2 linked regions of the Canis lupus familiaris genome follow. Each later gene encodes a partner of the first gene's protein in a complex. Links are inferred from orthologs where the notes say so. Each region holds a gene or a part of one and is shown on either strand. Other genes may lie near its edges.

What was found. The genes of interacting proteins can lie anywhere in the genome.
Region 2: the proteins of IFFO1 (region 1) and XRCC4 are in contact, whole or in part, in a crystal structure (PDB 6ABO), measured with the Homo sapiens proteins. The link is inferred for Canis lupus familiaris from reciprocal best matches to the Homo sapiens genes IFFO1 and XRCC4. Residues at the interface, in NP_001317253.1 of Homo sapiens: Arg469, Glu470, Tyr473, Ile477, Gln479, Ile480, Glu481, Glu483, Leu484, Ala487, Lys488, Asp490, Met491, Arg493, His494, Leu495, Tyr498, Met501, Lys505, Leu508, Asp509, Met512, Cys515, Arg516, Leu518, Ile519, Thr520, Gln521; in NP_001304941.1 of Homo sapiens: Trp155, Val158, Gln159, Phe162, Glu163, Cys165, Val166, Lys169, Glu170, Glu173, Leu176, Tyr177, Phe180, Val183, Leu184, Lys187, Lys188, Lys190, Ile191, Leu194, His195, Lys197, Leu198, Ala201, Ala202, Arg205, Glu212.

What each region holds. Positions count from the first base shown.
Region 1 is NC_049248.1:7,637,999-7,642,336, forward strand, and holds the start of IFFO1 (intermediate filament family orphan 1), read right to left. Parts: upstream 2,942-4,338; 5' UTR 2,892-2,941; coding exon 2,119-2,891; intron 1-2,118. Other genes in the region: NOP2 (probable 28S rRNA (cytosine(4447)-C(5))-methyltransferase), read right to left, coding at 3,532-4,187. UniProt on the Homo sapiens protein: Nuclear matrix protein involved in the immobilization of broken DNA ends and the suppression of chromosome translocation during DNA double-strand breaks (DSBs).
Region 2 is NC_049224.1:24,558,719-24,562,568, forward strand, and holds part of XRCC4 (DNA repair protein XRCC4), read right to left. Parts: intron 2,157-3,850; coding exon 2,004-2,156; intron 688-2,003; coding exon 581-687; intron 1-580.

The sequences.
Region 1 (4,338 bases):
CACGAGTAGGTTCCTTCCAACCTCCATTCAAATCTGGTCTCACAAAGTTCCCTCGACATGGGTAGAATTTGAGCCATTTCCATGAATTCTATGTTTACTAAAGACTTCCCTCCCAAATAAACGGTATCCTTGAGCAAAGTGAGGAAGCAGGGGCCATTCCTATGCTGGAAAACTGAGGCCAGGAGAGATCCACCCAAGGTTGCACACAGCAGGGGGTAGCTGAAAATAGAACCTGGGAGGCCTCAGATTCTTCACAGTTTACTGCTAAAGCTCTACCCATGCCTTCCAGGCCACAGATAGGAGCTTCAGTGTTGTTTTAAAGAGAACAGAACGAGGGCACAGGATCTGGGGTGGAGGAACGAGTAACTGCCAGTGTCACGTACCAGACAACTCTAGCTGCAGGGCCCTCTGCACAGCAGCGTGCTGCAGAGCGATGAGCTCATCAATCCCCAAGGAATAACTCTCTGCTGCCCTGGACAGCTGGACCAAGGACAAACACTCTTTCAGTTAAGAAAAAACAAATACCCGAGAACAGCAGTTGTTTCTGTGGTTATGGGTGCATTCCAGAACTGTCCGTGTTCTGCTGCTGGCAATGTTAATTAATTCCTGCAAGGGCAGGGGCAGGGGCAGGTGCTGGGGCTGGGCCAGGGGCTGGGGCAGGCTGGTTCTGGGTGGCATCTGAATAATGGAGAGAATGGTTTAGGAGAACTGAGACTCCCAAAGGCACTTATAACACGGGCTACGATGAAGGAAGCCAGCATGAGGACAGGACTCAACCTCAGAAAGCCTGCTGGTCTGCAATCTGCTAGACTCTGGCAGGTTACAGATCCCTGAAGGCTGCCCCCAGACCCTGGGGTAATCTCTGGGAGCATTTAGCCAAGCCCCAGAGGACACCAATCTCAGCTACACTGGGCTGCAAGGGTAGTTCCCAGGCTTGCCCACAAGGGGTCAGAGTAGTCAATTAAGAGGTTAACCATGATGGCTCCCAAAATAAAGCCTCCTGCTGACATGTCATCTTCCTTCTCAACCATGGCATCCCTCACGAAGTCTACAGAGGGCTGGCTGTGTTCATGCTCCTTCCTCATGGCCTGGTTATCAACCCTCTAAGGGATCCACTTGATATACAGCCAGCACTAGCATCACATCCCTTCCCCTGGCCCGTTGTGCTACCCTGCCAGTCCCCTGCAGAAAACCCAAATCGTCTTCCTCAGACAGCACAGGGCCTGGCCCCCAGCTGCCTTATACTCACAGGGTGTGTCCATATTCTCAACTTTTCCCCACTCGGTTCCTCTGCTGGCTTCATTCACATTTCGTCATCCTTTGGCTCTCTGCACTTTCACAGATTCCCCCAGCTTCCACAAGTCCTGTGACAACTACCAGTCCTTTCCCCCTTCCCTAGCAAATTCCTTTTCCCCCTTGTTTTCTGTTTTCTTTTATTATTTTCTTTTCTTTTCTTTTTTATTATTTTATTTTTTACTTACTCTGAGCAACGTTCTGGGGTCCCAGAGCCTTTTATATGGAACTGGGGTAAGTTCCCAGTTTCCATCGACATTGCTTTGGGAAACCCAGAGCAGTGGCAGGGTCGCCCACTCCGAGATGCAGCCCCTCCCTTACCACTCCCTTCTATTTTCATTTAGACTCCCAAATGAAAGCTCTATGCTTTGTCTCTTACTTTTGATCAGTATGTGGAGCCTCTATCACAAAACTGCTCTGAGGGCTGCGCCTGGAGAGGCTTAGTACCCCAGATGTGACCACTCAAACGCGTGTCCCTTTCACACAGCACACGACCCCACAGTTAACGCAGTCATCCAAACACTGCAGCCTAGATGAGACAGAAAGAAAAGCCACAAGAAAAATATGTATTCCCCACAATCCTCCGCTTAGAGAATCCTTCTTCCTGTCACGAGTGCGACTTCTGCATTCCCTGTGGATTCCCCTCTTCCTGTACCCAGTGCCGTCTGTCTACCTCCAAGCTCCTCCTTACACAGCAGGAACTTTACTCTCCTATTCCTCCCTGATTCTTGGGCCGCACTGCTGTCCTCTCCAGCACCCACACCTCGTCCTGGCCCCATGTGTGGCATGACGCTGAGCCCGGTCCCCACCTTCCCGGTCCCCTACCTCCGCTTGTACTCGTCCCGCTCGCGCTTCACTTTAGCCAGGACGTTGTAGAGCGCGCGGATCTCGGGGGTGATGGTGTCGATCTGGACGCCCACCCCGTCGGGATGCACCCACGACAGGCCAGGCCCCTGCACCAGCGTGGGCTCCAGTCCCGGCCCGAGCCGGCGGGCGTGAGAGAAGGACCAGATGGTGCCGGGCATGAAGCGGGCTGACGAGGAGTAGGAGGTGGAGGTGGAGGTGGAGGGCGACGAGTGGCAGGCCGCGGAGGGCACGAGGGGGCCGGCTGGCGACCGCGCGGGCGAGCCAAGCACCCGCGCCGACGGGGTGCAGACGGCGGCCGGCCGGGCGCTCAGGGGCAGCCCAAGGGGCCGGATGGGGCTGACGAAGCCGGTCTGCACGGCCTGGTCGCGGCGAGCCAGGCCCCGCCGGCCCTGCTTACCCTCCTCCAGCGCCTGCTGCAGCTGCTTCTCTAGCAGCCGGTTGCGGCGCTCCAGCTCGTGCACCTTGGCCAGGAAGCAGCGGAAGCGGAGGTTCAGGGTCTTGAGCACGTTGATGTTGGAGCCCAGGTCGTTGCGGAGAGCCATGGCGGCGGGGGGGGCCGGGCCCGGCCCGGGCGGCGAGTAGGCAGCCGGGCCGGCCGGGGCGAGCGACGACGGGGACACGTCCCCTCCCCCGGCGAAATGGTCGCCTCCCAGAGGGTCCCCCAGCGGCCCGGCCAGGCCCTGCTGCTCCTGCTGCAGGAGGAAGAGATTGGGGCCGAATAACGGATTCATGGTGGCGTCTTCTGCTGGGAGACGGACACCGCTACAGGAGCAGGGATGGAGGGCGAGGGGGAAGAGCCAATGAGGCGCCAGGCGGACGCGGGGCAACCAATCAGACGGCCCGGCGGTAGGGGCAGAGGTCACGGGGGCGGGGCAGGGGAGAGAGGAAGCCAATGAACGGCCGGGCTGGAGGCTGGCACCGGGATCTTTCCGGGTCTGAGGCTGGCGGACCCCAGTCCATGCCTTCAAGCCAGGGTGGCACAGAGGAAGAAAATCCAGGTCCCTTGCTACTCCATGGGTTCTGGCAGGATGCCCATCCCCTCTACACCCCCATTGCCCTCCTCTCCCCAGAATCCAAACTGACTCCAGACCCTGAGCCCCTGAGGAGACAGGGAGCCCAAGAGCCTGAAACTCATTTCTCAGTAGACTACATTATTTTCTCTCTTCAGAGGGGCCCTGCCCCACCCTCCCGCCACTACTCTTCAAGCAACAAAGCCAGTACCCAGTCCCCTCAAAAAACACACAGTGGCCAGAGATTATAAAATGTGTATTAGATTTCATACGCAGTGGGGACACCAGCCTCACAGAGGTTAAGAGTTCCAACCCTGTGCCAACAGCAGTAAGCCACCCCAGTCTAGTACCAGCCATTCATCTAAGACAACACTGGATGGCTGCTGCCTCTGGACTGAGATTTTCTCCTCTTTGCTGGTGGGGGCTGGCTGGAATCAAGGGGGGACATGGCGGGAGTCTCAGGTCCCTTGGGGGTGCCATTCTGTTTCCGGAAGGCAGCTCTCTTGGAAGGCTGTGCTGGCAACTGCTGCTTTACTTTCTTGGTCCCTCTGGTGCTTCTAAGGGGCTGAACCCAGTCCTCAGGCTTGAGTGTGTCCTGGGTCTTGGAAAGGGATAGCACAGGCACTTCTGTGTCCGTGCCCTTAGGAGGGCCATTCGGCTTCCGGAAGGCAACCTTCTTGGAGGATAGCAGCGTAGCTGATTGTTGCTTTAGTTTCTTAGTCACCTTTGGTCCCCTGATCTCTTGAGTTGGCTGACTGCTGTCCTGGAGCTTGGAAGAAGCTTGGGACTTTGTGTCACAAGATACAGTGGACAATCCTGAGTCTGTCCCTTTGGAGATGCCATTCTGCTTCTGGAAAGAGGCCTTTTTGGGATGTTGCCGTTTCTGCAACTGCTGCTTTGTTTTCATAGCCACTCTGGCCTTCTTGGCAGGCTGGCTGCTGCCCTCAGGTTTGGGGGTCACCTGGCCCTTCACCTCAGGCAAGTCTAGGCTTGTAGGGGTGGAAGCTGCAGAATTTCCTAGGTTAAAATGAAACATGTGGTTTAAGAAAATGGGCCTCACCACTGGTTCCTGATCATTACTAGAGGAAGTTAGTACCAGTATCAAGATAAAGAAACTGCCTACTAATGGCCAAGTATGCCACATAGTGGCGTAAGAGTACACTATCTT
Region 2 (3,850 bases), on another chromosome or scaffold:
GTGTCAAATGAGTTCAGGGGCTACTGCCTCTAGGATATCTGTAAGACTTTAGACAAATAATCCATGGATTTAGATCTGAGAGACTGAGTAAGGCTCAGGTACTTTTAACTTAAACTGCCATTGCCCCTTCTCTTCCCCTCTAGCCCATCTCCCCTTATTGAAACTCCTTTTCTGAATAATGAAAGAAGGCTCAACCTCAAGACAATCTGAAGCATTCTGGATCACCTTACCCACCCATAGAGCTCTAGCTAGGTAAGATCTACATGTTAAAGGCAGCCAGCTTTTAGCTGAAGATAACTATCACGAACACATATCTTCCCTATTCATTATGCACCCTTCTTTAATAAGGAATAGTACTCCTGGGTGTGTATGTTTGTACGCATACTTGCTTGTTTTATGAGTTGCTGCATTTTATAATAAATATTAATTTTAACATTAAATACTCTAGGTTTTAGACTAAAAACCCTAAAGAATTTTGTAGAAGACTTTTTTCATAACATTTTTCATTACGGTTTATTATCTTTACAATAATAAGCCCAAGTGAGATATTCAACAAAGGTGATGAATGTATTTCTATTACCTGGAGCCGACACAGAGGGATTAGGCAGTTTTTCTTTTTCCTCATCAGTGCTTTCATCATAGATTGCATCTCTGTCAGCTGTCATTTCAGAACACGCTGTGGTTTCCCTAGAAACAGAAAAGGTTGAATTATGAATTATTGGTTCACCCTGGGCTAGGGATCAAATTTACCAGTAAGTAATAATAAAAAATATCCCTGGAAAAATACTGTAGTTAAACAAACATATATTGAAATATATATAATTAAGATGAAAGCACTTTAAAGACTGTATGTTAACTCTCTTAAGAATAAGTTTCTCTTCTACCTAATTTAAATGTGGTTTAGTGCTCACTGTAATTAACTGTTAAATCAGTTTCTTATCATATTATTCATCTATAAAAATACTATGCTTCCAAATTATTTTCTATGGATCACAATGTGTTCAGTATTTTACTGATCTACAATAGTTTTGCCCTGCTTTTGATTGGCCCCAAATTCTCAGAGAGGTAACTTTCATCTTATTATGAAGATACCAAGTAAGGCACAGAGAGTTTAAAGAACTCTTACTTGCCCAAAAGACATATACTAACATAGACTTATCTGCCCAAAGTCATATACTAACAGATATCAAGTGCCAGACAGCACTTGAACTAGGACTATCTGACATCAAATATTATATTCTTCAGATGATGCCTTTCATAAGCCTGTGTGTTCTCTCAGACTCAGGACACAAGATCCAAACTTGTATCCACTATAATAATTAAGTGGATAAATAATAAATAAAATAATAAAATAAAAATCAGACTCTAACAATTATAATTGTCCAAACCATACAAGGTGTAAGTAACCTGTGATTTTTCCTTAAAAATCAATTACATATCCACTCCCAGAGCCACTTGATTCTAAAATTAACCACTACTCAGACACCAAGATTACAAATGTGCCAATCCTGCAGCTTAGCAGAAGATAAAAGTTTTTTTTTTTAATTTTTATTTATTTATTCATGAGAGACACACACAGAGAGAGAGAGAGGCAGAGACACAGGCAGAGGGAGAAGCAGGCTCCATGCAGGAAGCCTGACGTGGAACTCGATCCCGGGTCTTCAGGATCACAACCTGGGCTGAAAGTGGCGCAAAACCACTGAGCCATCCAGGCTGCCCAGTTTTTGTTACTTTTAATGATGTCTAAGAATTACATAAATAATACTTTAGATAAACCATACTCCAGTTTTAGGATTCAAGTGTAGTTATGACAGTAGCTAGACATAGAGAGATCATGCTGAGAATTCTCCAGCCCAGGGCATCCAACAGCCAGAGCATTCAACTTCAGACTGGCAAATGATCTCATGTTACTAAAAAGCTGGCATCTAACTTTCATTAAGTTTGGGGGAAAATTCCCTTTAAACTTATGTATCTGCCATCTCAAAACAGACAACTCAAAATACCTTTCATGCTCAATGTTCTTTTCTAGTTCTTGAACTTCATTTAACAATTTATGCAAGCTTCTAATCTTCGCTTTCTTCTCATTCAGCACCAGAATAAAGCGTTGATAAAGATCAGTCTCCATAGCTTCCTTAGCACTCACACATTTTTCAAATCTAAAATGTAAATAAACAAATAAATGAATCATCCAGTTTTTCTTAGTATTAATATTATTCAATCCAATACTGAAAATTATTTCAAGAAAACTTTTCAAGGAAAATATAATTAAAAGTCACTTTTACAGGTTTCCATTGATTTAAAGTTTTACACAGATAATTAAACAATTAGAATTTATTGTTTATCAATGTTAGTAATTTACGTAGTGAGGTAAGGATCAATATTGGAAAATAATGCCCAAAAAGATATATATATATATATATATACATATATATATATATACATATATATATACACACACACACACACACACACACAAACCATAAATAAATCTGTATTTTAACAATTCAAAGATAAATTATTTCATGTATTCTTTTAAACGTAGTCTTTTTATACTTCTGTTGTTCTACACAGGTATTCTAGTATTTTCATTATATATGTATTTATGTAGATATGTTTAAATATATAATTTTTCACTGAAAAATTATAAACAAAAATGTCAAAATTTGATACCTTTGATATATATGTCCCTGTGCTTTCAACAACCTTTCTATCTAGAGATACAAAGAATTAGGGCCTCTTATGGAATGAAAAGGAACAAAAAACAGTATATTTTCTGGGAGCAATTACAATACCCTTATAGTAGAATCACTGCCAGGCTGTGAACTCTATAAATGCGGAGAGCAGATGTGTTTTATTGACTGCTTTATCTTTACTGCCTAAGACAGCGTTTGGCATTTGACAGGTGTGGAGTAGCTATTAGAAAAATTAATTGTGTTAATATGGACATCTTATAAGGTAATGGAGAATCAGTGATTCTGAATATATTTTTCATTCCTTTGACAGCTATTTACCATTGTAAGAGCAAAATTTTTCATCTCCTTCAGCTTCTGAAAAAAAAAAACTGTGGTAAATATTAATATAACAGTACTCCTTTCATCAAGAAAATGTCTTTGAGAAAGAAGTACACCAAAAAGTATGAGGAAATAAAGCAGAGCCAAAGTTGAAGAGGGGCTGCCAATATCAATGGCTTATTTTAGGCAGGGACATATCACTCACTGCATTTTTATATCAGATGTGAAATGTTATATAAACATTGTATCTCATCTTCTTGTACTATTTTCTAATGTAACATAGTAACAAAAATTTTAAAAGCTGAATAGAATATACATGAGTATACTATAAGATGCTTTATTCAAAGGCAAAGTAAAAAACCAATTATAAAAATGTACAACAAAAATTTTGGATATTATATAAAATTTTAGGAACAGTAACCAATTAGTTACTTACCTGATTTAAATGTATTTTAATTTCCATTAAATAACTTCAATAATTATTAATTGAAAGATTATGTGCACTTAACTAACAAGCACATTTCAAAACCTTTATTAAAATTAACATTTGATACAACACATGGACAAAAATGAAAATATCAAAATACAATATTATATAATTTGTCTAAAGAATATAGTTAATCAAAAAAAAAAAAGAATACAGTTAATCACAGCTACACTGTCGAAGGTAACATGTCTGTGATAGAAGAACAAACAACAGAATAACTGTCAACCTATGACTTAACCGTGCTTGGTTTTAGCAAACCTTTAAGATTTTCTTTCAACCAAACTTCCAATTATCAAACTGGATAACACTTTATAGACAAAGCTAGGGAGCGGGGGTTGGCTGGCACAGAGTA